Linked DNA regions of Drosophila melanogaster. The protein of the gene in region 4 purifies or fractionates together with the protein of the main gene of each other region. This does not show direct contact. Each region holds a gene or a part of one and is shown on either strand. Other genes may lie near its edges. The genes, in order: Sh3beta, Prx6c, capt and Ntf-2.

Region 1 (8,477 bases), on a different chromosome or scaffold from region 4:
ATTTGGACTTTTTCTCGCCTTGTATGTATCGTGGGCAACAATTGTACGCTCTCTTATCTTATCGCTTATGGGGCGTGATTTTGGAAATAATTTGAGGCTTCAACGCTACAAAACAAGGGCCTTTGCTTAAAAAGAGCGCCGAAAATAGGAAGGTACAAAAATTTTTAGTAAATACTTTTCGCTAGTCAAAGTTGCTAGCAATGCATAATTTGAAAAGCTATTATCCGATATTTTCCCCAGAAAGCTATTAAAAATAGAAATGCCAGTAAAAAACTTTTAAATGCGAAGTTCGCGTAAGTTTAATGACTTTGATGACGTCCGTTTTACCTAAATAATCATGACAAGAGAGGAAAAAAAATTCAAGACAACAAAAAAATGTTTTTTTTCCCCCATTTCGTCACGATTAAATTATATTGTTCAATAAAATTAGTAAGCAATTAAACATATTGTTATATTCTTATATTCATAGCTTTTTCTAGAATAGAATGACAAAACCATTTTAAAAACCTAATTTTTATGAGACTATTATAGTTTCCACGACAATTAAAAGGATGTTGGCTTCCTTGGGGTTTCTAGCTTCTTTCGGCTATCGCCGACAGCTCCGATACCGTGCACCCAGCTGCTGTTGTCGCAGGAAAAGGGCGATACCGAATCGGAATACGAATCCAGAAACTCCGAAGAGAAGGAGAAACCAGCCAAAGAAAGCGACGAAACGAAGTGGCGCAGCGCAATTAAAGGACGACCGACAATGAAAATAAAAAAAACCACCACGCAAAGGCAAAATGCATAGCAATGCAGAGGGAAAATAAAGAAAACAGAGAAAAGTGTAAACTGTAACCCAATAGCAGAACAACCACCGATAAAAGAAAACTACGCAGGATAATAATGCGTGTTCTTCTCACTCTTCCCCTTTCTTTCTTTTCTTCTTCTTCGTCGCTGCAGCGGCAGCTGTACCAGCTGTTTTCCGCACTAACACACGCACACTGCCCTCTCGATAAACCGCAACACGTGTGTATGCGTCTGCTGCTGGTGTTGCTGTCTCTGCCCACAATTATTAAATATTTAAAGCCATATACAAAACGTTTTTGGGTTTAACGTTATACTCTTTTACGTGACAAATGCCAGAGATTAGTTTAAAAAAAAGCAAACGAAATGGCAGCAGCCAAAGCGATCACACTGGTTGTCCCACTCTAGCCTGCACACGCACGCACACAAAGAAACGCACACGCACACCGTTGTGAGTTGGAATGTTGATTTCATGAAATTTTAAAAATGGTCGCATCGCATATCATTATCAGCTTTTCAGAGGAACAAAAAGTTAAACAGCTTTTCCAACAATCGCACTTACATTAATGCGTATTTTGATTTTTCCTTCCGACTGCTTTTTTGCTTTCTGCACCACTTCACACGCGCTTTATTTACTTTTTTATTGTGCCACTAGTCCGCTGGCACATACCCACTTACATTCACGTCCGTACTTCAGTTTGGGTGATTAATTTAGGTTTTCGGTTAGATATAAGTAATGTTATTGCTTGCTGGTTGTTTGAGCAGTATTCCAAAGGCCACTGAAATGCACTGTCAATAGTTGTTCGTCCTCGGCGACTCGCTAGATATAATTTACAAATTTTCGTCTCGCTTCTTAGCAAAAATGGACGACGATGCTTGCGTGACGGGACGTGAACAGAGTGACCGCATGGCGACCGCTAATATTGGTTGCCCTGCTAACGGATCTATACCAAAAAATACTTTATGGTTCTACCAAATATAGCAAAAACTTCAAATAACCGAAAAGTCTGGGGAGAACATTTTTCAATTGCATATTCTATGTACTTTCTTGAGTCCTATAACCTTAAGTCGTTTGTAGAAAGTTAGCATTATTGCATTTTTATTTTTATGGAATTCAACTCCAAGTAACAAAAAATTAATAAATAAAAAACACCCTCATGTTCTAAATTCCACCGTTCCTTGAAGCCGCTAACTCATCGACGCCAAATTAAAAATAATTTGTTCTATAATAAGAATCCTTTTCTTCTATCTTTTAAAAAACCTTAAAAAGCCTATCTTATGCTTTTTATAAATTATTATTTTATTATTACGATTATTAATCGAAGAACGTTTAAAAAATGAAAACCTTACATGGGAGCATAATAAAATTTAAGTTGTCTTAAAAATATTTAATTTTGAAATATCACTTAAGTTCAAAGTTTTTAGTATTTTAATCAAGCATCATATTTAGTATATTTGATAAGCCGGAAGGTTTTCTATAGCCGTCAATGCGCGGTCCCACCATTCAATTCAACGACAAAGTAGGAAATATTTTCCACTCCTGATATCAAATATTTTTGCACTTTTATAAGCGTCGCCAGGCAATTTTTTTATCCGCGTCTTTGCCGTTTTTACAGCCAATAAAACCAACGACCTTGCCCAGTGCGTGTGCCTTCGTCACCAGTGGAAAAACATTACGTAGGGGCGCAGGACGGAAGAAAGCAGGAAAAGAAAAGATCTATAAATATTTTTAATCGCCGTGAAAGTAGCCAGCAGATTTTAGTTGCAAAATATTATTTCATTTGCGGTGCGAGGACACAGTAATCTGCGAAAATGGTCTTGAAAGTCTACGTCAGCGGCATGTCCGGCAATAAGGAGGTGAGTTTGTGGGCGTGGCGGGCTTAAAACCGAAATAGTGTCATGTTATTGGAATGTTTGGCCCTGGTATTAGCGACAAACAGATAAAAAGGAAAAGAAGCAAACTAAAGTGGTGACGAACGCATTGCAAATTCTATTTCTTCTGCTGCGTTTCGTCTTTGTGTGTATGTACGTGAGTTGGACAATGATGATGATGTAGTGTGTGGTATGTAAGTCTGTATGTCTGTACAGTCAAAGAAAAACAAGTGGGTATTTTCGTGAGTGCCCTTGTGTGCGAGTGTTAGTGGTGGCAAGAAGCAGAACAAACATACATTTCATTGCCCATATAAGCTCATTCCACTGTGAACTGTAAATTGTTCATGGAAGAGAGGGATTTCCATTGATCGCAGTTGCGTGGGTGCGTGTGCATGTGTGTGTGTGTGTACATGCGTGAGGGGTGATTCACTTCCCCCTCTCACTCTTTCGGTGCCTTTGTTCAATTGGCAATCTTCCTCTTCCAATAAGAACAAAAACATAACGGTCATTGTACGGTTCACAATTATTTGTTTTTGTCCTGTCTTTGTACACTTTAAAAAAGCGTTGGGAAACACATATTCTTATCGTAAGATAAATGCTGGGGTGCAACAAACCATTTTAATTAGCCTTATCATATCGCGTGGTTCTGGCGTTCTTTTTACGTACATATGTTTATATCGGCGGGGAGTTGGCTTTGTGTGCGCTTGTGTGCGTTTGGGCTTGCCGGTAACACTTCATTAGCGATTTGTCATCGCTGTAATTAACAGCGTTGTCAAAGGTAGCTACACTGAACAAAACGATACATGTTAAAGGTATTTTATATACTTTAATTTTTAACTTTCTTTTCAAATTTAAATGCTTTCACTGACCGTCGAAATCCAATTTTACAGGTGAAGAAGCGCCAGCAGCGCGTTCTGATGATCCTGGACAGCAAGAACATCAAGTACGACACGGTGGACATCACGGAGCCCGGCAAGGAATCCGAGAAGGAGCTGATGCAAAACAAATCGACAAGCAACGGTGGAACGGTCAGCGATCCAGAGCCCCGTCATCCGCTTCCTCCGCAGCTGTTCAACGACGACGAGTACTGCGGTGATTACGACGCCTTTGACATGGCCAACGAGATCGATACCCTGGAGGTGTTCCTCAAGCTGGCTCCAGCCGACACCACGGCAGTTAGTACCGCCCAAATCGAACTGAAGCAGGAGAACGGCGATGCCAAGAAGGAGGAGGCGGAAACGGAGGCGGAGGATAAGAAAACGGAGGCCGGCGATGGCGATGTGGATGTCAAGGAGGAGGCTGCTGAGAAGGCCGAGGTTTGAACTTGAGCTATTTTCACGTATTTTCCGTTAACTGTTACGACGCAACAAACGCAGCCAGCAATCATCTGCAGCAGAGCAATAGAATTAACAACAACAGCAATGTCTTGAAACTAAAGCCCTTACACTTAACAGCAGAAATAACACCCAATGTTTACCTAACAGCACAGATACTACCAACTTTCTACATACATATATCAATATTTTATGGAGCCCGTCTTCGATTTCTATGCCCATAGGGATTTGGGGGAGTTGTATAGATAATTGCAGAATATGAAGTGCAATCTTCCTTTTAAATTATACAAAATTTACAAAACTAACTTTTAAAACTACGAGATTTATTTAGAGACTTTTTAGACCTTCATCGGTAGAGCATGAAATCGAAGATCTTTCAATTTTTAACGAATTCATTATGACTACTGCGGTTCTTAAGCTAAGTTCATGAGCGTATTTAAACGAGGGCATTCGATTGTGTTGGCCCCCGGTGAAAAGACAATTTTAATCAAAATATTTATATTCATTAACTGACATCCAAACAACTTGTATGTACCATTTATACACACCTGTAATAAGGACTCGGAATACTTACTCGGAGCACTTAAGCCTAAGTTGGAGTAGTGTAGAGAGCTGAAATTTATTGTGCAGCCGTTATGTTAATGCTAAAACATAAAAAAGCGCTGCCCCTGTAATAAAAGGAAATATATTTGTATTAACTAAAAAAAAAAACTATAACCAATCGCAAGCTTGTTTTTCTAACACTATGCAACACACTCAAACTCTAACACCAACTTATCAACGGCTAGTTTAACAATGAGAATGTGACAACTTAATTTACAAAAAGGCTTTTTTAATACCAAATATCTATAGAGAGATTTTCCAAAGTTGGTCTTTAGGTTTGACGAAAAAAACTTTTCACGAAAAGTACAGGAATATGGTGAATTTCAATATTCTTGAGCAATTTTGTTGCCTTAAAGACCGACTTTTTCGAAACAGTTTCGTAATGTAAAAACATTACTAACAATTGAGTGATTCTCTAAAGAACGAAGACGGCAAGGACAAGGAGAATTCAAAGGGCGAGGATGAAGACGCAGATGAAGAGAATGCCGAGCAAAAGGTAATAGATCGATAGATCCTGCATGACCGAACCATAACTCTAGGCTTTTAGAGCTTATAGGAGCTAACAAAGGCATGATCTCTTGCACTGTAGTAGCCTAGCGATTGTCTGATCTTGTAAATACAACTTCCACTTTACCCCCCCCCCCCCCAAAAAAAAAAAAAAAACGAAAAACCACCAATCAACAACCCACAAAACATTCGCACCCCTAATCCCACCACCCACAAAAAGACTGAAACCGAAGAATCTGGGGACAAGAAAACGGAGGAGAAAACTACAGGTAAAGTAGGAAGATCGTCCCTAGACTCTAATCAAAATTTCTACCCCGTAAAGACGCTGAAGGTGAGACCCAAGAAAAGTCTGAGGAAGTGGATACCAAGGAAAAATCAGAGGTTGAGAGTACCAAAGATGATGAGGTTGGAAAATCCGAGGATGTTAAAGATGATGAGGATGAAAAATCCGAGATTGTAAAAGATGATAAGGAAAACTCCCAGGATGTTAAGGATGATAAAACTGAAAAATCCGAGGATGTTAAAGATAAATTAGAGGGAAGTGAGGAGACCGCAGAAACATCGGAGGATGCTGACACTACTGAGAAACCAGATGTTGAGGCCACCAATGATGATGGGGATACAAAATCGGAGAAAAACGAGACGCAAGAAAAGTCCGAGGAAGTTGATGCCGTTGAAGAATCAGAGGCCGAAAGCTCCAAGGAAAAAACGGAGGAAAATGACACCAAAGGCACCAAAGTCAATGAGAATGATAAAGACGAGGATGTTGAAGAAAAGACCGAGGAAAATGCAACAGAAGAGTCCGCGGACTCGGATAGTGCTACCAAATCAGAGGTTAAAAGTACCGAAGATGATGAGGTTGTAGAATCGGAGGATGTGAAAGATGAATTCGAAGAAAATGAGACCAACAAAAAGGTCGAGGAAGTTGGTAGTACTGAAATATCCGAGGTTGTAAGTACGGAAAACGAAAAATTTGAAGATATTAAAGAAAATCCTAATGAAAATGAGGCTCAAGAAAAGCCCGAAGAAGTTATGACTGCCGAAAGATCTGTAGAGGAAACCAAAGAGGAAGAACCAATCGACGAGGAAAAACCTGCAGAAACGAAGACAGAAGACACGCCCGAAAATGAAGAAAGCAAACCGGATGGCGAGAATTCCTCTTCCGAAGAAAGCGAAGAAGAGTAAAAGAAAATCGATTGAACGACAACAAAAAACGCACTGACATCCGCATCACAAACACCAATGCACAAAACGCACACATACACACACACGCACATAAAAAAACGCACATTTAGCCAAATAATACCAAAAATGTTTTGTAAATAGAAACAAGAACCCACTAATAACGAGTCTGGTGACGGGTAATGAACCCTAGTTTAGGCCTTTATGTGACTTATTTACAATTTTTACTCCTTTCCCAAAACAAACAACAAAAAACTCGCTGCTGTCTACAACAACAATGAAAGAAGTTACCAGCGACCACAACAACAACAGCAGCATCAGCTAAGAAGACTTCAGATTCCCAATCGGATCTCTTATTGGACAGCGAGCGGGCAGCGGCTGCGCAGTAGGCGTCGACGTCAGCGCAGACAGAGGCAGCGCCAACTTTGATTTAAATTATTTTTATGATTTCCACAAACTATTCGGGCTTGTTGCAATTCTCACTTGTTTTTGCTGATTTATTATTTTATGTGTCGATACTCTAACAATGATACAACCGTTTTTTATTTATTACAAAATTAATTTACTTTTGCGCTAAAATATATTCAAATTCTAAAAGCTGTAAGCAATTAGTTTATCCAAAGGCTTAGCAAAAATGTAATAAAAAAAAAAACTTAAAAATTGCTAAGGTTTAGGCGTGGTCAATAACTTGAATGGTTTAAATTAAAGTAATTGTGATGCTATTTATTTAATTGAATAAAATGTTAATCTAGAAATTCAGCAAATTGTGCAGTAAATTTATGTTAATTCAGCATTAAAGTGAGCGAAAGTAGCAACAAGCCCGTGGGTTTTTCTTTCTCAGTTTATAACACAACAAAAGAGTAGTAATATCAATAGACTTTTGTATTTACGTGTCTCACTTTTAGTTCTTGTATCCAAATAATTAAATATACAGTACATTATAATTATGTTTAGTACAGTACACGGTAAAATGAAGTTATAGTTATTTACGCACTAGTTCGGGGTCTTTTCCATTACAAAACTAGTAAAAATGCGAAGGAAGGGTTCGCATTGGTGTGCCTCCGCCACGCGCCACGCGAAACTCATTTACTAAAAGGAAAACAAAGAGGCTTCTCTTCCGTCCCAGTGAATTAGAGAGGAGGTTGAGGTTGATTGGGGTTCAGGACGTCTATCCATCCGTCCGTCCGTCCGTCGCACTGTCCATGTAGACAGTGGATTTATTCGCCGTCCTCCTCATCGGACGTATCTGTTGTATAGTCGCTCAGGTTCTCCTGCTGATCGGTGTGCTCCGGTTCCGATTCGCTCAGATCCCACTGAGGATGATCCGTCGGTGGTGCGGGAGCCTTCTGTACATCCAACTTCAGCTCCTGCTGCTGATCCATACCCAAATACGAGTCTGAAACAGAGGAAACATTGTGTGAGAATCCCCCCTTCGAATGCCAATGTACTATGCAATCCAAACTCTTTTAGAAACTCACCCGATCTCAGGCAAACGGTGAACGTGTAGACGCCCGGCCAGCGCGGCGCGGTAAACTTCAGCTGGATCTCCTCCTTCTCGACCAGATTGGTCACATGATAGGGCGCTGTGAGCAGGGTGCGCGACTTGCGATCGCATATGTAGGTCCACCAGTACTCCTGCTTCTCCTCGGGGAAGTAGGGGCAGTGGACGGTGTGCGACAGCCGAGACTTGCCCTCGAGACGCTCCCTCTTGTTAAGCTTAGCTTGCAGTCGCTCCCACTCCTCGTCATCGTCGTCGTCCAGCGAGGAGTTGTTCTTGCCCTTCTCCTCATCCTCGCTGCCACTGCCGGCAGCCGATTCCACATCGCTGCCATCCGCATTTCCAGCCTCCGATTCGGCATCGGAGTTACCCGCCGCCGCTTGATCCTCGGATGCCGTGATCGTAGCTGTTGTCGCAGCCTTGGCCGGCACCTTCTTCTGGTTCTTTTGGTTCTGGGCTGGTTTCTTACCACCCTTTCCCTTGCCACCCTTACGTGGCTTGGCCCAGGCAGAAGCCTTCTTGACCGGCGCAGCGGCAGCAGCCTCATCCTCATCACCGGCAGCCTCCTCATTGGTCTCATCCTTGATGCCCTGCTTCTCAGGCGCCTTTGTGTCACCGAATAGCGTCTTCATGTCCTTGCGCTCCAGCGTAACCGTGACCGTAACTATGGCCCCGGCGGTCACCACATTGGTGTT
Region 2 (4,768 bases), on a different chromosome or scaffold from region 4:
GCATATTTTATGAGGACAGTTGGCTGGCAACTTTTCGCCGAATTTCGGAAAACAACTTTATCGTTGCATTTACCATTAGAGCTGGTCAAGGGAAAACTTTTACTACGAGGCGATCAGATCACTTGGGAAAACGCTCCGTTTGAATGGGTGGATAGTGTTAAAGATGATTTGTTTGTAGCCTCACATGTTTGGATTAGTTGGCAAACACACGCGAACGCACCGCATGGGCAAACAACACACAAGTGGAAAAGTTTTCGCGGACAAAAGTTTTCGCCGCCTGCCAAAAGGTGTGTGCACTTTGTCAGAATGCTAGTTTACTACGAACGGCGGTCCCTAGGCTCAAAGTCGGGGCGATACGATAAGACAAATATGTCAAAAAACAGTTTCGAGGACCGTTTACCGTTATGTTTCGACCGCTCAGCTACCGCACGCGCGCATCGCTAAATTTGAACTGAGCCGGAGCGCCAAAAAGCAAAGCAAAGCGAAAGCAAAGAAGGAAAGCAGAAAGGAAAACATGCGGCGTGGGCGATTGCGGTGCTTATCAAAATCAGCTGTTCGGAAGCTGACTTCAAGCGTTAGCTTTCAGGCGCAAAAGCTCTTCCTACAGTCACCGATGCGAAAATAGAATAGCTTTTGGAACACTAATATCAGTCTCAAGTTGAGACTCTCAGCCAAAATATTGGTTGACTTACATTTGTAAGCCATTTTGTTAATGCATCAAGCTGGTAAGCAAAATCGTCTGCTGGGGCATACTTTCAGGCGAAAACGAATATTTTTATACATCCTTTTGGCGGCGGGTTTCTTTCTGATGTTTTTTTAAATGTAACATATTTATAAGGATTAATATCAACGATATGCGCGGCCAAATTGAATTCTTGCGGCTATAAGTGAAAATCCTCATAAGTTTTAATTAAGAGAGGTAGTCAAAAAGAAACACATTTTCTTACATTGTTGTTATTGTTTTGTTCTTATTATTAGGGTTGTTTTTTAAACAAGATAATTTGTGAGCTTAAATAAGCTGGGTTACAAAATATCGAATATTTTTAAACTAATTTTATTAATTGTTATTAATAAGTAGGTCATTAAATTTTTAACGATTAAAACAAATTCTATTTTCGGTATCACAAAACTGATAAGTAATGGAAAATTACTACAAAACGTTTATTATAGAGACGAAGGTTTCTGAATTCTTAGATTAGACCTTATAACTAGCACCCTCTTACGAATGTACTAGTAACTTAGGAAATACGATCGAGCTATTGGAAGTGAATCCAATTTTGTTAAAGATAACCCACCTCTAAATAAATTTAACACTTGCTGCATTTTGAATATCCATGATGACTATATCTTTTATTTTAATTTCAACCATCTGAATCCCATTTGGGTACTGTCTTCTGAGTTAGCGATCTGCCCATCCGACTTTCCAAAACCCATTCGAACTATTTGTGTGTTTTACTGAAAAAAAAACCTATGCTGGTGTGCTTAATATTCGATAGACCCACGCACACAGTCTCATGATTTCACTCGCTCTTCACTTTCAATTGGAGGCTCGTTTTGTGTACGTGAACGGGAGAGCCGTGCGATCTATGGAAGTGTGCGATTTTTGGAGGCACTCACAAATACCATCACACTGCTCGGCGCTCTCTTGCTCTCAATATCCGCCTATCGATGTGGCTGTATGTTTGCAGGTGTTGGTGCTTCGCCTCTATTTACCAATACCATTTAACATTTAAATGCTCTCTGGCTCTCTGTTTATGTTTGGAACCGGCTTATCTGTCAGCTGGACCAGATCAGCTGTTTGGATGTTAGATGCTAAAGGAGTTTGCGCCTATTGGACTTTTAAAATGAGATTAATGAAGAACCAAATAAGGAAAACAGTACTTTATTCTAAGATACTTCCAGAAGCATTTCGTCTCAAAGTCCAAATTATGTACCACGTTTTGTAGAGGCCCCTGTCGAGTTTCACACACATGACACCATGCTCAAGGTTTCCCACTCCCCCCACCAAAGCAAACTACTCCACAATCTGTTCAGTATTGTTTTATAATCTGTTCACAGAATAATATACTACAAACAAACACGCGCGTTGAGGGAGCGCCCATTTCCTATCTCTATCGCACCCGCTATTTACGTCGATCACGTTGGGTATAAAAGACAGCCAGCTCTCCCAGTCAGTATTCAGTAAGCAACAAGTGTGCGAGCTAAAAGCAGCTACCAGTTGAGCAACTAAGTTTTTTTGAAACTAATAATCAAACAGCAAGATGCGTTTGGGACAGACCGTACCTAACTTCGAGGCCGACACAACCAAGGGGCCCATTAAATTCCACGAGTGGCAGGGCAACTCGTAAGTGCCATCAAACCCTTTTTCTCTGATCGAATCTTACCAATTCTTCTTCGGATCGCCAGCTGGGTGGTGCTCTTCTCTCACCCCGCCGACTTTACTCCCGTCTGCACCACTGAGCTGGGCAGGATTGCGGTGCACCAGCCGGAGTTTGCCAAGCGGAACACCAAGTGCCTGGCACATTCCGTTGACGCATTGAACTCGCACGTGGACTGGGTGAACGACATCAAGAGCTATTGCCTGGACATTCCCGGGGACTTCCCCTACCCGATCATCGCCGACCCTACTCGCGACCTGGCCGTCAGCCTGGGCATGCTCGACGAGGAGCAGAAGAAGGATCCCGAGGTGGGCAAGACCATCCGCGCCCTGTTCATCATCAGTCCGGACCATAAGGTGCGCCTCTCCATGTTCTACCCCATGTCCACTGGTCGCAACGTTGAGTAAGTACCTCTTTCGGGCTACAACTATTGTTAATCTCAACTGACGATCCTTTAATCTTACAGCGAGATTCTGAGGACCATTGACTCCCTCCAGCTGACTGATCGCCTCAAGGTGGTGGCCACTCCCGCCAACTGGACCGTAAGTTTTTCTACCCACTTAATGCGAACTGTTCCGAACTAATTAATTCTGTTTCATAAACAGCCTGGCACTAAGGTCATGATCCTGCCCACTGTCACCGATGAAGAGGCTCATAAACTCTTCCCCAAGGGATTTGATAAGGTATCCATGCCGTCTGGAGTAAACTACGTCCGCACCACTGACAACTACTGACACAAAACCGTTCCCCATTTGTGATCCATTCAATAATGTGCCGTATTTCCTGACATATACTATATACTATGTGCAGTTCATTTATTTAATAAAAAATTATTTTAACAAAATATCCAAACTATTTTAATTGATTTAATGAAAGAAATTTTTGGAGAATAATGTAATCCAATCAGAATTAGGGGAGTTACTGCGATTTTGACGTTCTTTTAGATTGTATAATGTCTGTTTTTTATTTCCTTGCGGATGGTATAGTGATTTTAATCTATTGATGTATTTCTATTGCAGTTGGTAAATAAGTCAAAACTGTATAATATATACGATGGAATAATAGTGAAAATGAGATGGTGTACCTTTTTTGACAAATTATTTGGTTTTTTATTTTATCAAAATCGTAGTGTTCTTATTCGGAATGCATCAGTTTTTAAAACCATTAGTCGTAGAGTAAAAGGATATACTGGGATTTCTTAAAAAGCATAAAACAAATAAAATGATGCCTTATCGACCATATGAAGTATATAAATTCTTGATCATGATCAATATCCGAGTCGAGGCTGAGCTGTCCGTCTGCATGAACGCCTTTGAAATTTATTCATTTTATTATACATATGTTGAACTTTCTCGTTCGCACTCCCACTAGCTAATTAAAGAGTATCTGATAGTCGAGGAAATTGACTATAGCGGTTTCTCTTGTTTAAATATAACATTACTCCAACGGAATATGAATCATAAATGTCATAACTGTAAGTGAAGTGTTTTTTGGTAGAAACATTCTTTATTGTGTACGCTTAATAGTTAACTAATTTTAACTAAGATTAAACCTGATGGCTAATACTTTGCAGAACTTTCTTAAATTCTAGAATAATTTGTTCTACCATTTCTGATTCGATGAAGGTGGTGGGGAGGTAGGCAATTTGATGCTGTTGGGAAAATGAAATTAATAGTTGTTCATTCAGAAATTTCGACAGATGTACTTACAGTTTAATTAACGGTCACCATTTTATGTATGTATTTTTGGTCTTTGGCCGATGATCCTACTATATCTTATTTATTCGTCTGGCCTGGTATTGCTTTTCGGTTCCTCGTGGAGCAGGTACTCCTTGGCCATGGTGTACGCCAATCCGGCTGTCAAACATCCAACGACGGTTCCCTGGGCAGCCACACGCAACTGCATCAGAAAGACGCTGGTGCTCATGCTGCCTCGGTTCCGATATTTGTAGGCTCCAATCAAACCTGCGGCCACGAATCCGGCAATACCCACCAGCATAAAGGGGGACTCCTTCACTTTTCGGGATAACTTGTTTGCCTGAGCGACATCTTCGTCGGTTTCGAATAGAGAATTGGAACTCATTTTGAATAGGTTAGAAAACTTGTTCCCTCTTCTTGTTAGTTTGCCTGATAATTGACAACTGAATTCCGAGTGAAAGAGATCCCTGGCTTTTATACCCACTTGCTTTGAGACGATCAGTGAGCGAGATAGCGACAGTGTTGTTTTCACTGATATGTATGTACATACATACCTATGTATATACACCGATATAATGTACAGCCGTGCGGGCAAGGCCTCCCTGTTGCGAACGCCTCTATTTTTGAATGTTAGCATGCATCAACCTCGTGAAACTCGGGACTTTGTGATGAAATTCTAGAAGCTGCCTCAAA
Region 3 (8,469 bases), on a different chromosome or scaffold from region 4:
CTGGTTCTCAGCACGAAGAATTTTTTGTATCTCATGTGAATGATGAACTAAATTAAATCTCCAGCTCATTACTTCTTTTATTTAACAATTGAAACAAAAAGTGTAATACTTGTAAGACATTTTCCGACATCGTTCTAAAGTCCATTACTAATCACGGCTTATCAGACGCCGCCACTCACCTGCAGTTGAGGGGAATGTGAACCGTTCACATAACCATTTGTCTTTTGTCCGTTTTTGGGCTGGTTCTCCAGTTTGCTGGGACTGGCTACGGGTGGCCACTTTAAGCAGCTGCCCGTGTCCGCGTTGGTGGATCGACAGAGATCGGCCATGTCCACGTATCCCCTGCCTTTCGTCCGCCTGTCGTACAGGCTGACGTGTTTGATGCCCACGTCCAGGGCAAAGTCGAAGATCCTGCTGAGGAGCACCGCATCCACGCCGGCATCTACGGGGGAGATAACCAGGACCAGATGCTGCGGCGTCTTCGTCAACTGGGAGCGGCAGTCAGCGAGCACGCGCCGCTCGTGCGCCTCACGTGCCGCTTTGCTGCGCCAAAGGTCATATGACCGGACGGCCAGTGCATTCAGTCGCTCTCGGAGCCGCCACATCAGTTCGTAGCCGCCGACCAGGAGCAGCAGGATCCTGCCCAGCAGCAGGCACAGCACCTCGATCATGTTGCGCAGGTCAGGGGCGGTATCTCGTACAGCGGTTGTCTCTTCTGCCAGGAATCCGCTCCTGTTGCTTCTTCGGTTCCCCGTCACAGTGTACACAAGCGGACATAACCTGCAAACGGCTGGCGGACCTGGGATTAGGGCTTTCCAGAGGTGCCGGCTGCCTACCCACGCTCATCCAGGGTCACTTCGCTACCTGTTCAGTCACTTGAGACGCGGGTGCATCTTGTTATCCGAGCGTAATCAAGTTTTAAGCGATGCGCTTCGCAAGAATAATGAAAATACGTGTTCGTCAGTGTGACCATGCGCCGGATTCCGCAAAATATCGAGAATCTAGAGCAGTTTTATAATTAAGAACTAATTAAAATAACTAAATAAAAAATAAAACATTGATTATTTAATGAATATGTTAGACTAAGTGAAAAGGGAATAACATTTTATTGGAAAACATCTTTATTAGACATACAATGTGAACGATTTAACAAAATAATTTACAGGACAAGAAATAGCGTCAATATCTGAAGGTGAACTCTAGTAGAAATGTACCGTGTTCAATCAAAATATAGTTTATTTACGTGTATATCGAAAAGTCCTAAATGCATTGCAAATAATTTAAGAATTAGTTTATAAGCTTGGCTATTGCACTTCCATCATATTTTATACATTTAAACATCCGTTTTCTTAAGTCTAAAATTTGTTGTATCATATATTTTTAGTATTCTGCCACCCACATAAGGGTTAACTCGCTTGACTATTTCCACGAATGTACGCCTGGTCCCACCAAAGGCCACGCCAAGTTATTATTTTCGCCATTTCGCCGGTGTTCGCTACGCAGCTTCTCGTCAGTTCTAATTGGAATACAACTGCAGATCCTTGCAAATTCATCAGCAGCAAAAGAAGGTGAGTAACGCCTGATTGTTGCTAAAAACGTTCATTTAAACGGGGCTTTGCTATTATTCGCAAATTCTCTTCTCCCGTTCGCCGGCTGAAAGTGTCTGCGGAATTAACGGTTATTGGTGAGGGGTGGGTGGTGCTGTCACGAATTTGAGCGTGTGTGTGTGATGCAGGCTGTGGGTGTTTGTACACACACAACAACAACAACAGCGAAGAGAGCCAAAAAGACAAGAGACAGCTGTGTGATGGCTATTTTTGTGTGATTCATGTTGCTTGTAAAATTAAATCTACATGGTGTATTTTTAACGATGATTTCATATCCGATTCCATGGCATAAAGACACAACTAATTCATTGCCAGCAAGTGTATGCAAATTAACCCTTAGCAGCTCCCATTGCGATTGTTAACCCCCGATAAAAAAAAGTAACTACTCAGCTGTTGTGGCCATTTTTTGTTTTTGTTTCGCTGACTCACAGACACATAGTTGATATGCATATGTATGTATGCATGTATGTAGTTTACGCAAGAGCAAACACGTTTGCTTGTATTCGTGCGCGAATGAGTCAAAAAGTTGGCCAAAACGCTTTTATCAGCGAATCGCGATTGAAAATCGGCAGATATTACCACTCACTCGATTTCGGTGGAAGAAAATAACACCTCGCCTTATAAGGTGGGCGATTTTTCTTCTACCATTACGAACACCCCCCACCCCTGGTAATTCGAGCTCACTCACACTCTCGCAGCGGGAATAACGGTTCCTCAGCTGCAGACATTTAATCTTGGTTTCTAGTTTTTCTTCCCCATTTCTTCTTTGCTTTCTGCACGCAACAAACGCATCTGCCGCAGAAAACGCATCAAGACTGCAAGGAGAACTAGTATCGCCAGGCGAAAGTTGAATCTCGGCTTACTTGTCCTCGGCGGCTTAGCCCCTCCCTCCAATCCAACGGCTACTGATGCATTTCCCACTCTAATTGCCAGCCATTTGTTTAAAGCTACTTAAAAACAAAAACAACGTTGCCGGTGCAATAAACCCATTGCACTAAGGCCAAAACAAAAACTGGCAAGCAAACGATATGGGAGTTTCAGTTACGTCGACGTTTTTATACTCTTCTGCGGCAGATTACTTCACAAAAAGCTGAACATTTTAAAACTGTTTTTATAGCCGGCTAAGATATGATCATTGCATCTCTCTACTCTCTATGGCTTACAAACGTTATGGTAATGCTCAAAATGGAATCATAGTTTCATTACCGATCATTCCTGGAAACTTTCCAAATAGTAAAGATAACTCGGTGTTGTCACAACTAATTGATAGGCGAACCCTGCCTTACAGGGCTGATAAAACTATGGGATCGCCGTGGTTTTCCCTCACTTAAGTCGCGCCACCCGTGGCGAGAAGGGTATCACGAAATCACAGTGGTGTCTGCGCAACTCTCTCGGAGAGTTTTCCATTTTCCGCCTGGACCGTAAGCTTTCTCTGCTGCAAAAGTGCAAGACATCGCCGGAGCTTGCACAAAATCCTGCATGTCAGGCCAAAAGCGGTTATTAATGAAACACATTTCATTGCCAGTCGGTGGCTGGCCCCAAATGGTCAAAAGCAGCGCGGAGTAGCCCAACAAGGCGGCGAAACTCAGCAGTTAACAGCGCGGAGCTCTCCTAACAGAGTCCTGTTGAGACCTTCGAGTTCGAGTTCGAAATCGAATCGAATCCCCGAGTGCGTGGGCGTGCGCTTCGTTTAGGGTGTGTTCTGTTCTCCGTGTGTAATCGCATTTGTGTGCCATTTGGTTCTGTGCTTGGTCGGCAGTCACTTGACCCAGTTGAAGGCGCGGACAACTCGGAGGACCTTATTAATGTGCCACTAAATTTGGGCCATACACTGAATATATGTACACAGTGAGCAAGGAGTGGCCACGTTCGTTGGAAACCCGTTGAGTGTCTTATATGGCTGCTGCTGTTACTGCTTCTACTGATTCGATTTGGTTTGGTGTGCCGTCAGTGTTGTGACCGCCGCTTGAGCTTCACGGGCATCCGCAGTCGAGCCACGGAACTTACATAATGTGCTTGATTCGTACCTAGAGTGTTGAGCACCGGAAAAGCCCAGCCACACGCCTGCAAAATGTTCTCCTGCTGCCGATCGAACCCCAAGGCGGGCAAGAAGGAGAAGGAAAAGCGGAACGCAGAGGAGGAGAACGGCGGACAGGTCACCGAAAAGGAGGAACCCCAGCTGAACGGCAAGCCAGGAACTCCGAAGGAGGAGCCAGAGCCTGTGAAACCAGAAAAGGAGCTCTTGGAAGCGCATAATCCCGAGGATGTGCCCACAAGCACCCAGCCAAACACTGGTACTGACGCAACGCTAAGTATTTACCCACCACCCCATCTATTCGCGTTCTCCGGCCTTCGAGCTCAACAGCTGTCTCGGCTTTTGTCTGCTCTCCGGAACGAAGGCCCCTATCCGGCCGGCTCTCACTCACTGCAATGCCACTGCAGCTGACCACCACTTCTGATCTTTCCTTTCATTTCAATCCGGGCACTTCAAGCTGCCTTGAGTGTCCTTTTCTATTTACTTATGAGTTGTCTTCACTGTGCTTTCTCTTCGGTTTATTTCTGTGAATTTTATACATATGAATATCAAGGAATTGCGCCGATTCTCAGTTGATTAATGAGGAATAGCTAATGACATTGCATACACACTTTTTGTTGAGCACTTAGATCGTGCTCATCCATCAAAGTGAACGTATAGTATATAGTAGTGACGAATATAGAAACTAAAATGAAGGTCAATAATTTAGACAGAAAATTCAAGATTCTATAGATTCTATAATAATAAGGTGAGCAGTAAAAACTAACTACTCAATCTGCCAGTGACCATGGTAAATGCTTTTAAATGCGATAAATAAACATAATGAAGACAGGAAGCGAGGTGAGCAGAGAGTGAAGTGAAGTAATCAACTTAAGTATCGGCGCTTTCCTTGATGATCGTCTTGGTAATTCGTCGCTTCATGTAGAGTAATCTTAAGCAACACTTCCACAGCCCAACCAACTCAGGCTGAAGCGGCTAGCAAATCATCACCAGCAAATCCAGCACTAGCACCCAAAGAACCGGAGCCACTGGCCCGCTCAACGCACTCTTCCACATCCACGGCACCACCTGCTTCGATGACCAGCGGCGACGCGGAGGAGGCGGACGAAGTGGTGGTGGTGGCGACGGTCACGCCGACCACACCGCCTCCTCAGCCGCCGCCCACCAAGAGCTGCCTGTCCAGGCACAACTCAACGCATCAGTCGATCAAGAAGAAGGTGAATATCAGCAACCGGGCGGAGATCATCGAGCCGGATCCACTGCCACTGCTCCTGCTGGCCAGCCAGAATCAGGGCTCCTTGCTGGACGACGACGAGGTGTTCTCCGACTCACTGCCGCCACCCAAGCGGGAGAGCATGTGTGCACCCTACATCGAGGGGGATGTCGTCTCGGAAACACTCTTCTTTGCCCACGGATTACCCTCGTGGTTCGACGACGAGCGCCTGAACGACATGTATGCTTACCCAAGATCCTGTTTTGGTTTCACGCCCAAAATATCCATATAGTTAAGCTGAAACCAGAACAGGTCGACCCCTGCATTCCCAGCCCCGCTTTGAATTGCCAGTACATCGTCTCCTCTGTCCTCGTTCCATGTCCAGCGGCTGCATCGAGCCCCCGGTCACGCCGGTGGGACGCGACGAGCTGGAGCTGAAGCGCCAGCGTCTCTACACGGAGCTCCTGCGGGCCGCCCATGCGGCTGTGGAGCATAGCGTGGCCGTGCGGGGTATGCGAGCTTCGATAGAGTCCGATTCTTTTGCTTTTTTTTTTCGATCTCAGCAGTTATTTAAGCGGATGCTTGACTTTCTGTGTTCTTTATGTGTTCGTTTTCGCTGTGAAGAAGTTTTGAGAGTCTAGCGATTCACGTAACTTCCTGATGGCCAATAAGTTCGCAAGTCAAGTGCTTCCGTTTAAAGGTTCAACTTAGTTCTTCTCTCTTATGATTTTTCGTTGTCTTGTGCCGTTTTTGCATGTGGATTATTACTTTCACTCGTTGGGATTAGCTCTTTTTGCATATTGAACTTTATAAGTATTAAGCGCACCAGTTCATCATCATACACAAGCTCGTGATGAGGTATTCCTCTCGAGACGCCTTAGTTTATATCGCCTTTTTTGTCAGGTATTGTGAGTGCACGATTCACTGGGGTTTATCACGCTGAAGCATCATCTCACTCAAGTTATTTTCTTTATAAAACTCAGTGTTATTTGAATAATTCGAGATAATTGCCAAAACGAACTAAACATTTGCCGTTCTCCTCCGCGTCATTTTGGTTCAGATAACGAGCCGGAAGCCAAGCCCTCGGCCGCCGTCGACCACTTGGAGAGCATTTGCGAGCGACTGGAGACCCTCGTCGACCGATTGGAACGGACTCTAACAGCGCCACAGCCGATAGAACTGCCCACGCCCACACTCCCGCCTCCGCCAGCCGAAGAAGAAGAAGCTCTTCCAGTTTTTGAAAAAGCAGAGACACCACCTCCACCTCCCTCGCCGCCCAGCAGCAACATGAGTGTCGCCGGATTCGAGGACATTGTGGCGGGTCCGCTGAGCCAATACCTAACTCTCTCCGCCAAAATTGGCGGCGATGTGGCGCAGCATGCGGAGCTCGTGAAGAGCGCCTTTGGGTGAGTCAGTCTGGATGAGTCATCTATGGTAAAAGTGTAATAATGCCATCGTTCAATTCCGCAACAGCTCCCAACTGCAGTACGTGACGCTGGCCACCCAGATCGCCCAGCCGGCGCAGCCCAAGCAGGCGGAGCTTCTGAAGCCGACCTCGACGCAGATCAGCGCCATCCAGGACTTCCGCGAGAAGCACCGCTCCTCGCCCTTCTTCAACCACCTGTCGGCCATCAGCGAAAGCATTCCCGCCTTGGGCTGGGTGTGCGTGGAGAAGACCCCGGGTCCCTATGTCAAGGAGATGAACGACGCCGGCCAGTTCTACACGAACCGCGTGCTCAAGGAGTGGAAGGAGAAGGATGTTACGCATGTGGAGTGGGCCCGCGCCTGGGTGCAGACGCTCACCGAACTGCAGGCCTACATCCGGCAGTACCACACCACGGGCTTGGTGTGGTCCGGCAAGGGAGCGGCCCCCGCCGGAGGTGCCCCGCCACCACCGCCACCCGGTGGTCTGCCCCCACCGCCGCCCATGCTGGATCTGAGTGCCCTCAAGCTGGATAGCGCCGGAGATGATCGCAGCGCCCTCTTCGCCCAGATCAACCAGGGTGCCGACATCACCAAGGGTGAGCAGCAACTGCAAAAATGGTTAAGTGCTCCTATAGTAAGAAAATGTATCTTTTGATAAACCCGCAGGCTTGAAGAAGGTCACTGGCGACATGCAGACCCATAAAAATCCATCTCTACGCACTGGACCGGCTCCGTTCAAATCGCCAGCCCAGTCGGGCGGCAGCAAGGCCGTTGCTGCTCCATCAGCTGCGCAAGCCAAGGCGCCCGTTTTCGAGCGCGACGGAAAGAAGTGGATCATCGAGTACCAGAAGAACAACACCGGGCTGTTGGTGGAGAACGCCGAGATGAACAACGTGGTGTATGTGTTCAAGTGTGAGGGATCCACTCTGACCGTCAAGGGCAAGGTGAACAACATCGTCTTCGACTCCTGCAAGAAGTGCTCCCTGCTGTTCGATTCCGTGGTGGCCTCCGTGGAGTTCGTCAACTGCCAGAGCGTGCAGATGCAGGTGCTCGGCTCGGTGCCGACGGTATCGATCGACAAGACCGACGGCTGCCAGATGTATCTGTCCAAGGACTCGCTGGGCGTGGAGATCGTCAACTCCAAGTCCTCGGAGATGAACATCCTGTTGCCCGACGACAGCGGCGATTATGTGAGTTCAAAAATTTGTCTCTTGTCTTCAGTCATTTATTTATTTTTTTTGTGATTTCCAGACCGAGTTGGCTTTACCGGAGCAGTATAAGACCACGATTGCCGGCAAGACCCTGAAGACTGTGTGCGTGGACAGCCTCGGCTAAGGCGGTTCTCCTCCTCGGGGATCCTGTTCGTTGCTTTTCCAACTGTCGTCAGCAGCAATCATAATTGTATTTAATCTAAGTGCAAAGTTTTCGTAATTCAAAGATTTTTAGATCAAACATTTCGTATTGATGATGTTGCCAAACATTGCTGTCCTGGCTCGTGGAAAGTATTTATATAATTTATTTCGATGGAAAAGCGATGGCCACAAACCGAACCCAATGTATTTATATCGAGAGTGTGTTGCAATGAGAAACTGAGCATGAAATCCGAACTTTTGAGCAGACTCTTTACTCGATCATCAGATGTAACTCCTTTTTATATTCTATTTAATAAAATTTAAACTTTTTTATCAGATTATTGTGGGAGTATCACAATTTCTGGGGGTGTTTTTCCTTACTTTGTAATCGTTTATTATTGCATTAAATCTAAAACTTCACTTTCGTCCGTTCGTACTTTTATTCTCTATTTAAACAAGGTGCTAGCATTTTTTATCAGATAAAAAAATGAGAACTTGATTTATTGCTACGTACATTTACAATTTCTTTAATGAAGCCGAGCTCAGAATGCAGGGGTCAAGGGTTGGATTGGAGGGGAATGGCTGGTGGCTAATACTAGGACCCTAGATCTTCTTGTACTCGATGCGCTCCACTTTGACCTCGTCGCCGATCAGTTGGTACACGTACGTGACCACCGTGGTGCTCTGAATGTCCATCAGCACGAACGAAGGCACCACATTGGTGTCCAGTGGGTTGAAGGCACCCGTGGCCGATCCCGGATTGATGTAGAATTTGTTGCCGTGCTCGTAGGCCTCGAACTTGTACGTGTGCCCCGTGATCAGGATGTCCACGTCCAG
Region 4 (9,047 bases):
ATGGGTACTGATCAGCCGAGAACTTCAGCTGCGTTAGCGGTTTTGACCCTTTGGTGGGAATAGCGAATTCGGCAGCGGATGTTAATGTTTACATTAGGGCAGGCTGGATTTTTTATTGTCACCAGAATTGGGGTTCTTATGGGATACTTGAATTTATGACTTATATCCTAAGGCATTCTATGATTTGGTTTATGCAAAGACACTAGAATAACAAGATGCGTAACGCCATACGATTTTTTGGCACACGATTTTTTGGCCGTGGCTCTAGAGGTGGCTCCAGGCTCTCTCGAATTTTTGTTAGAGAGCGAGAGAGCGGAGAGCGCTACAGCGAATAGCAGACAACTGTATGTGTGCACACGTATGTTCATGCATTGTAAATTTGACAAAATATGCCCTTCACCTCAGAAGTTCTTAGACTTTAAATCTATATTATTTTTGATCAATTGGCACCATGCGAAAAAATCTTGTTTTGCATTGCAAATCCTGATCGTCCTCGCGAAGCAATGCTTCACGGCCATACCGCGGGGGGTCCTGGATTTGCCCTCCTTACTTTTACATTGTTAATCTGTTAATCTTAATCTTAAATGTTCAATAGACGAATTAAAAAAAAAAAAACCTAATCCTGTGTAATCAGAGCACTGGGGACGCGCGCGAGTAGCCGGGCGAATCGAGTTAACGCTCCTGGAAAACCCGAAAATTTTCCGTGTCGCGGCAGCTAAATAGAGACAGGAGTGACTGTCTCTAACACACAGTAATAGTGTAAAAATCACGGAGCAGACCAATAGCCAACCCCTCCGCTTATGAGTCCCCCGTCGGAACTTCACCCTTCACACCCAACCCTTAAGTCCATGACGCTGCGCTTGCTCTCTTGACCAGCCGGGCAGCAGCATAATAAAAACCCATTTTGCGTCTGAGCCAAGGTGGCCGGCGGAATGGTTTGTGTCTGAGCCTCATCGGCCAGCACCGTAACCATCACCTGGCGAATGGTATAGGGCCGCACACCTTGCAGTCCAAGGTTCTAAGGACCCCACCCTATAAGCCAAACGATGGCACCCCCAAGGGGCCATTATAAGTGACCTCCCCCCCAAACAGAGCCCAACCAGCAAGGCCCCCTTTTCTAGAAATCGAGGAGATGGGAGATATATTATACAACGGGGTGAGGAGCATTAATCTGGCAATGAAGAACACATTTGCCAGATTGAAGGATCTCCAACTAAAGCTGCGCGTGAGGCTGCCGGAGGAGGAGAATTCGCATGCCAAATGCACCGCAAGAACTGATGCTAGCCAACAGACCATCCCTAATGGCCTCTTTAGCTATGAAGAACCGAGTAAGGGCAAAGACGGTGTCAAACCAAAGATCGCACGGTGATGTCCAACGCCCTGCACTCCAAGGAGCTGAAGTTGGCGTTGCCGACTCGACCAGCAAGACGGTAATAATGCTGCTCAAAGGTGCCTTGAAACGTGCGACACATACTGAATATGCCATCCAACTGTTTTTCTGTTTTTTATTTTTGTTCTTAGCTAAATGTAATATGTCAAATAAACGAATTTAAAAAAAACCTAATCCTGCGAACCAAACATAGGTGTGTGTTGTGATGGAGGCAACTCCTGCGCAGGCGCGCGATGTCCGTAAATGTGGTGAGCATTGCCACGAATTGTGCGCGCCAAACGCAAATTTTCCTGCTGCGATGCATACGCACTGCCGGTGTGACCAGATCGGTCACTCTTATCGATATCGTTACCAATCCAGCTTACTAGCTTTAATAAATTCTATAAACTTGTATATCGAAAATAAAATTATTATTAATATTATATTAATATCATTTCAAATGGCAATGAATATTTAATTTTAGTAATAAATTGGGGTGGATATATGCTTTTCCGAATGTGAAGAAAACATCATCCTTTCAATATCTGGTTTATCCCTCCCGTCTGAAAATTGTGAAAATACAAGCGATTCCACATTATGAATAAACGGATCTAAAAATCAACTTTAGATACCTTACAATGGATTGTAAGTTGCGTTAGCTTAAGTATGACCTGCAATTAAACAACAAATCAAAGAAAAGTCGTCCCGAGCGAGGAAAAAAAATAATATATGAAACACAAATAATTGTTTTCCAAATGACCAAGTATTACGCCTGACAGAAATGCAATAATTTGTTCTTACATTTATGTGACCCTATCATCATCGAATCATATTTCAAATTCCAATTCCGATTTCGTTATTAGGACATCGGGCTGTAGCCCTGGGTATCGTAATCGATAGTTGCGAAATAGCAGTCAGCGATAGTGTCTGACAAAATCGACGTTGTTCCACCCCTAACAAAGAGTGGTGATCTGAGCGCAGTCGGTTGATTTCATTTGGTTTTTTTTTTAATTATTCGTGTCGCCGCGATCGGATCGGATTTCCCATAATCTCTGAGCGTTCCGCCTATCCTTCAAGTGAAATGTCGCTGAATCCGCAGTACGAGGACATTGGCAAGGGATTTGTGCAGCAGTACTATGCGATATTCGATGACCCGGCGAATCGGGCGAACGTGGTTAATTTCTATAGCGTAAGTGTTGTTGCTTCCCGCTTCTGCTCGTCGCCTTTCATCTCTCCTTTATTCCCGTCTCCGCTTTCGCCTGCACATTTTTCGCTTGCCATCCCCATCACACGCACAGGTGACGCGCGGCGCGCCCTTGAAAAATTCCGCCTCCTTTCAGCAGAAAATGAATAAAGAAACTGTTGCAATGCGAAAAAGAGCGCGAAAAAGAGCAGCTGGAGATATACGGTCGGCGTATCCGTGATATCGTGGGAATAGGATGAATGTTGATAGGGGCGGGGGCAGCGTTCGATTCTCGAAGTTTCGGGTGACACATTACGCCCATGCTCGCATAAATAAATACACACATACGAAATATATGGCCAACATACAACTGCGGTTAGCACAATAGGGCCCAATATACGATATAAATTCGTGAAAAAATTGTATTAATATCTTGAAAAATATGGCATAATTGTGTTTCATTAGTTTCAATCAATTCAGTTTTTTTGTCACATAAAAGAGTAAATGAAAGAATAAAAAAGTCTATAATGATAAAGTATTGAAAATAAAACTATCTGTTTGATATGTTTTTAATTTAAATATTAACAGTTTTATAACCAATTTTGTTCTTAATAATACGAAATATCATTACTAAGTAAAACATCATCATAACACTTATATCATTATATATTTTATACTTCCAGGCTACCGACTCATTCATGACCTTTGAAGGCCACCAAATACAGGGGGCACCCAAGATTCTGGAAAAAGTTCAGGTAAGTCCTGATTATATACAGTCATGGGCATATGTATAATATTTTGCATACCCTTCCTATTCCTGCAGAGTCTGAGCTTTCAGAAGATTACCAGAGTGATAACCACAGTGGACTCGCAGCCAACTTTCGATGGCGGAGTTCTGATCAACGTCCTTGGAAGACTACAGGTAAAACCAGAATTCTCAACAAGAAAACTGTCCTAAACTCGCTGTCGGGGGGAAATTCAATGACTGCCTGCGGCGGCGGTTAGAATATTAGCACTGCCGACCAATTCAATCGATTTTCTTTTCAAGTTTTGAATTTTATTTTTGGTCTTTTCAACACGTAAATGCTTGACAATCGTTTTTGTAACAAATAGAACGTTTTGTTTTGGCTTTCACATAAGAACATTATTTATTTTGCACTGTTTCCCATTTATTTGTTATCATGTATGGGCTTTATTAAGCCTGCCACTTTATTCCATTAAGTGTTCTTCATTCTAAGATACATTATACCCGTTACTAGTGCAGTTAAAGAGTATACTATATTCGTTAAAAAGTATGTAACATGTAGAAGCAATCGTTTTCGACAAAATGTAGTATATATATTCTTGATCAGGATCAATAGCCGAGTCGATCTGGCCCTCTCCATATGAACGTCGAGATCTCAGGAACTATAAAAGCTAGAAGGTTGATATTAAGCAGACCGATCCTAGAGACACCGACGCAGCGCAAGTTTGTTGATCCATGTTGCCACGCCCACTCATATTGTTCAATATGAAATTTCGCGTTCTCACTTCCAGTCGGAAAAGTCGACCATAGCATTCTCTCTTGTTTTGAATATAATATCCATTGACTTATTGATGCAGTTATAGTAGGTAGATAAATGAAATGAATTTTAAAAAGAGTAACTGCCTCAATGTATTTTACGATACCTTATTGTTCAAAGTGGATATATGTAGAGACGTAGAAGCAAATTTCAATCGCCCATCACTTAAGATATGAAATCATTCATCATTCTTCCGTAAAGTCGTAAGGGCAGTGCTATTTGCCGACCGCCGCTGCATCTATTATTCCATATAAGTCACCTGAATCTGAATCGAATATCTCAATTCTGGTTATTACAAAACGAAACACAAATGCCAAAACAAACCAATGCAGACCGACGAGGATCAGCCGCATGCCTATATTCAGACCTTCGTATTGAAGCCGGTGGGCGGCAGTTTCTTTGTGCAGCACGATATATTCCGACTCTCGCTGCACGATGTGTAGCACCAGCGAGCCCGACCTGCCACGCCCAGTCCACAGACTCCAGCGCCCGGCTATATGTGTGTAAATCGAGATCGAGATCAGCAGCCAAACGATCAGCCAGCAGACACGAGACGAGAGCCAGTTAAAAAACGAAAGAAATCCATATCTAAGCGATAAGATAGTTCTGCTGCTTGTCGACCTTATGCCGCCCAGCCATGCCCACTCCGCCCACATATACAAAAATATTTATCCTTGGCGTCTCGTCGTCGTCCAATTTCTTCTAATTATTCTCACAGTACGTGAATGTCCAACGAAAATTAATCAAATCAAAATGTTGCGCATTTCATTTCGTGCATGGTTTTCGTTGATTTTGAGTTGGATTTGCTCTTTCTTTCGGTTGGTCGCTGGGGACCTGGAACCTCCTAATAATGCAATTTTAATGTAACACAAACAATTTCTGTAACCTCTATTGCTTTACATTTTTAACTAAACGGTTTATATTTATATTATATTTTTAGATGCTTTCAATTGATATTGCACTTATAAAAATTCTGTTTTTCATTTGTTACAAAACCAAATACCAATTGACTAGTCTTAACTTGCATATTGTTTTGTTCAATAGCTCGAAGAAGAGAACTGTAAATATCCCAAATTGTTAAGCGCACCCTAATATGCCTTAAAAAAAAAACTTTCAAATGTTGTTCAATTTTGAATGGAACTGAGGAAAGTTTTGAGAAGTTCTTATATCAGTGAATAATAATTTTGCTCGCACATTTGGTATAAAGTTTATTCTGCTCGTGAAAATGTTTTGGAGTTATGTTCAATTTATCGAGCGAGCCCTGTACAGTAAACACGCACCTTACACGATCAATCGGCTGCCAGTTGTACACCCTTTCCCTCTGACCCTGGCTTCAAACTGTGTGTACTCCATTCATATCTAACTCAATACGTTGAAATTGGTTTTTCGCACGCTTGTGTTATTGACTTTAAATGTGACTGGTTTGCCTGGCATCTGCTAACGTATTTATGATTTCATTCCTTTGCAGTGCGATGACGATCCCCCACATGCCTTCTCGCAGGTCTTTTTCCTGAAGGCCAACGCAGGCACCTTCTTTGTGGCCCACGACATCTTCCGTCTCAACATCCACAACTCTGCCTAGGAGCACTCCACTTACCTACGTATGCACACCACTCAGCACCACACATAATCGACATCCAAAGATGCCCAGCGCCAGATGATAACAACAAGCTCGGCAGTGGAACTCAGAAAAAAAAAATATAACAAAGCCAGCCAGCGGTCTCACGATTATCAGCAAATACAAAAGTTAGAAAAAGAAAAAAAAAAAAAAAACAATAAAAAAATAAGAAAATAACGCTAACTACTATTACGATGTCAACAAAATGGGCCGCCAGCTCACCTTCATTTGTGTCCCATTGTTGCCGGTACTCTCGCTTTACGATCCACGGAACCCTAGAATTATATGTTCTGCGAACACCTGGATCTCGCGATCTAATTTAGCTAGGACTATCGAATTTGGTGGTATGTGCCGTGCTACAAGCTCGTATTTCGAATTCCCGTGAAATGAGCAGGAACAGCAGGCCGGGATCATCGCCTACATAAGTTTAGAGTGATTTTCTAGACCGTTTATATTTCCAATTGAATTATTTGTACTTTAATTATGAGGATTATTTTAGATAGCCGTATTGCAAATGTATTGTGTCGAGTGTCTCGCTCTGTAAACAATTACTTGAGTACCGGGACTGCACCACACACAGTCGCAAGTATCGACTCTTGCTTTCTCATATGACTAATTGAGCGATGGCGAATTACTTTTTATTGAGAGAAAAAAAAAACACTTAAATATAAAGATAAACGTTAACAGTTTGGTTGTTTGTATGATTGGCGGAATGGCCAGTTGAACCGGAAAGATATGTATACCCTTATAAGCTATTAAATGCATACGAAAGAAGCTCCAGCGGATCTGGCCAGTGGTTTCCGTCTAAAAACTGAACGATTCACTTGTCGCGAAATGTGAACACCGCATCGAATCCGAATAGCACCCCATTGACGATGGACAGCGAGGCCTTGATGAGCGCGAGATCCCGAGTTCGGGTGCGGAAGGAGAACTCCCAGGCCTCAATGATGAACACACCGCTGGCCACGAACAAGGTGCAGCCCAGGACGCTGAAGAATATATCGATGCGCTTGTGAATGGGTGCCCGCATCAGAACGCCTGCAATTGCAAGGTATCTTAAGTAGATTTGTGTGCAAATTTCGTTTTTGGTTAACTTATTTTAGTATTTTAACTCTTAAGGACTGGCATTCCAAGGCGTACCTGCAAAGACCCCGATGACCACTATGATGTAGCCCGTGAAGGTGCCAGTGGCCAGGAACGAAGTCATTATATCGCGATCGTTGAAGCTGTAGAAGTGGAGCACCAGACACGCTACCGCAAAACCCTGGAAAAGTGAGGGGATTTTCATTTGTGGTGCTTCTTGGTGTTCTTATAATTTCCGAGTCTATCTGGTATTTCGGGTCTTTTCTTTTAATTCCCAAGTCGTTTTTTTTTTTTTTTTTTTTTTTTTTGACAAACCATTGTTTAGTAAGCATACGCGTTGCTTTTTGCATTAATTCATTAATCCTTAGAACTTGCAGTAAAATCACTTGAAAAAAAAATCCTTTACCAGTTCGAGAAACTTGACCACATTGAGGCGGCCTTTTCGCTCGCCATGAGACATTTTGTGAAACTGCTGCCGCTGACAGTCCTCGAAAATGTGGTCCAGCTTGAAAATGTACGTGTCGCAACTCAAGAAAGTTCCAAAGTTCTTCCGATTGGCCTCTTTGGAGCGTGCTCGCGACGGCAGAGCGCTGGACAAACTGATTCTGATTCGGAAATGGATGACGGATGGCAGGCAAATGCGGCTGCAGTTTGCAGTTGGGCGCAGTCGGGCCCAGCCAGCGAAATTAATTAATTACACTTAGGAAATAGGCTTTTCATTCTTGTTCCCATCCCTGTGTATCCGCCCACGTCCACCACGTCCGCCGGGCCTCTCGGTTCCATCTCTGAAGTGGAGACCGTCTGCGTTCTCCGCTGCCAGCTGCACTCGAGCCCCATCCCTTCCAGCTTGATTGAGTGGAGCATAATGTCTGTATCTGCATGCATGCTCTGTGCCGGTGGGTGGCCAGTGGACAGTGGGCAGCCGCCCAATGGACTCGGACTCATTGTGCTCGCATTGCCATTACCCCAAATTTGCTGCCTAACCTTCGGGGCCCAAGATCGGAGCTAATTCGCGGAATCGGGGCCAACGGGTCGCCAATTTTCCGATGGTAATCAAGTGGATAATGGAAAACATATCGCCGGGGAAATCACTTCCTCAAATCATGAATAATCTTATGGACTTCATGGGAATTATTAGGTTGTAAGGTTGTGTTGCAACGCTTTTCAGATATAAAAGTGGATTTGTAATGCATGGAATATATTTTTTAATATATTACAAGTACTGTACTTTTTAAGTGCAATTAAAAGCTTAGAGCAACATAAAAAGTAAGCCGAATTTTATATACCCTTCACCTATAGTAACTTAGCTACCACTAGCTTGGACGACTACAGTCGTCCTGTTTTAATAAAATGTATTTTATTTCTATTTATTTTTCCTGTATTTTTTACGAACGTTAAACTGCAAATCCCATTCCGCTCGCTCCTAGTTCAGCTAAATTATATAGTTTATATAAAATTAGATTAGTAATTACATTTCCGACCCGGCCTGTTATTGCCTTATCTAATACCTGCAATAGGTTTAATAGTTTAAGTAAATACGATTACGTGGAAATAAACAGACACGGTAAGATTTAGTTGGGTGTCAATTCTGACTAAAAATATATATCTAAGTAATATATACTTTGTTCCTGACTAAAACAATAACACTTCCTGTGTTCTATGGTCAATTTGAAAACATGCAAAATAAGTTGTTACAGCTGAACAAATCTATTTTTAATTTTTAAATTAGTTCTCTATAGAGTGTTTATGCCACATGTTGAACCTATTTATCTTAACTTAACATCAACTGCTTTATTAATTTCAAAACCTAACCATTAAAATAAATATATGTTTTTAGAATAATTTCGGCTGGTAGCAAGCAGAAGTACATATACGATTATTTATTATCAAAAGCCCAGCTTATCAGTTTGAAGGCAACTTTTGATATGATTCAACGCAGACACAGGTGCGCATTGAAACTATATTTAGACCTTCTTATCGCTTCAATGTTTTGATTAATCCGTATTTTCTGTTTCAATTTTGAAAATGCATTTTTCAAGACCTTACTACCAGAACGAAATCCAATTGAGCTTTGGCAAGCTTTTTGTTTCAGCAATTTTACGGTAATTAGCAGCAATTCCCATGCTATTGTAGTTCTATTAAAAGTTAATCGCCAGCACTTTACAGTGACAGCAAAACTAGTTATACTAGTTGCGAACTATGATCGAAAATGATACCCCACCGAGCTACATG

Evidence for each region.
Region 1: the proteins of Ntf-2 (region 4) and Sh3beta purify together in Drosophila melanogaster (affinity purification with mass spectrometry, with the first as the bait; one large-scale study listed by BioGRID). This does not show direct contact.
Region 2: the proteins of Ntf-2 (region 4) and Prx6c purify together in Drosophila melanogaster (affinity purification with mass spectrometry, with the first as the bait; one large-scale study listed by BioGRID). This does not show direct contact.
Region 3: the proteins of Ntf-2 (region 4) and capt purify together in Drosophila melanogaster (affinity purification with mass spectrometry, with the first as the bait; one large-scale study listed by BioGRID). This does not show direct contact.

The regions. Positions count from the first base shown.
Region 1 is NT_037436.4:7,363,056-7,371,532, reverse strand, and holds Sh3beta (Sh3beta), read left to right. Parts: upstream 1-2,272; 5' UTR 2,273-2,598; coding exon 2,599-2,643; intron 2,644-3,342; exon of another isoform or gene 3,343-3,461; coding exon of another isoform or gene 3,462-3,470; intron 3,471-3,548; coding exon 3,549-3,974; coding exon of another isoform or gene 3,975-3,980; exon of another isoform or gene 3,981-4,692; intron 4,693-5,016; coding exon 5,017-5,091; intron 5,092-5,322; coding exon 5,323-5,371; intron 5,372-5,424; coding exon 5,425-6,287; 3' UTR 6,288-6,463; intron 6,464-6,568; coding exon of another isoform or gene 6,569-6,673; 3' UTR 6,674-6,949; downstream 6,950-8,477. Other genes in the region: Sec63 (secretory 63), read right to left, coding at 7,502-7,680, 7,763-8,477.
Region 2 is NT_033778.4:10,416,544-10,421,311, forward strand, and holds Prx6c (peroxiredoxin 6c), read left to right. Parts: upstream 1-2,174; 5' UTR 2,175-2,261; coding exon 2,262-2,344; intron 2,345-2,406; coding exon 2,407-2,781; intron 2,782-2,844; coding exon 2,845-2,920; intron 2,921-2,983; coding exon 2,984-3,112; 3' UTR 3,113-3,218; downstream 3,219-4,768. Other genes in the region: CG11825 (uncharacterized protein), read right to left, coding at 4,158-4,504, 4,560-4,623.
Region 3 is NT_033779.5:1,151,178-1,159,646, reverse strand, and holds capt (capulet), read left to right. Parts: upstream 1-3,335; 5' UTR 3,336-3,678; coding exon 3,679-3,901; intron 3,902-4,593; coding exon 4,594-5,095; intron 5,096-5,240; coding exon 5,241-5,365; intron 5,366-5,915; coding exon 5,916-6,261; intron 6,262-6,328; coding exon 6,329-6,876; intron 6,877-6,946; coding exon 6,947-7,470; intron 7,471-7,531; coding exon 7,532-7,615; 3' UTR 7,616-7,969; downstream 7,970-8,469. Other genes in the region: Tango14 (transport and golgi organization 14), read right to left, coding at 180-671; Vps29 (vacuolar protein sorting 29), read right to left, coding at 8,236-8,469.
Region 4 is NC_004354.4:21,033,164-21,042,210, forward strand, and holds Ntf-2 (nuclear transport factor-2), read left to right. Parts: upstream 1-2,305; 5' UTR 2,306-2,450; coding exon 2,451-2,558; intron 2,559-2,667; exon of another isoform or gene 2,668-2,927; intron 2,928-3,235; coding exon 3,236-3,307; intron 3,308-3,375; coding exon 3,376-3,474; intron 3,475-4,446; coding exon of another isoform or gene 4,447-4,557; exon of another isoform or gene 4,558-4,831; intron 4,832-5,582; coding exon 5,583-5,696; 3' UTR 5,697-6,552; coding exon of another isoform or gene 6,553-6,770; 3' UTR 6,771-6,783; intron 6,784-6,851; 3' UTR 6,852-6,872; coding exon of another isoform or gene 6,873-6,996; 3' UTR 6,997-7,221; coding exon of another isoform or gene 7,222-7,275; 3' UTR 7,276-8,304; downstream 8,305-9,047. Other genes in the region: CG15449 (uncharacterized protein), read right to left, coding at 6,553-6,770, 6,873-6,996, 7,222-7,275.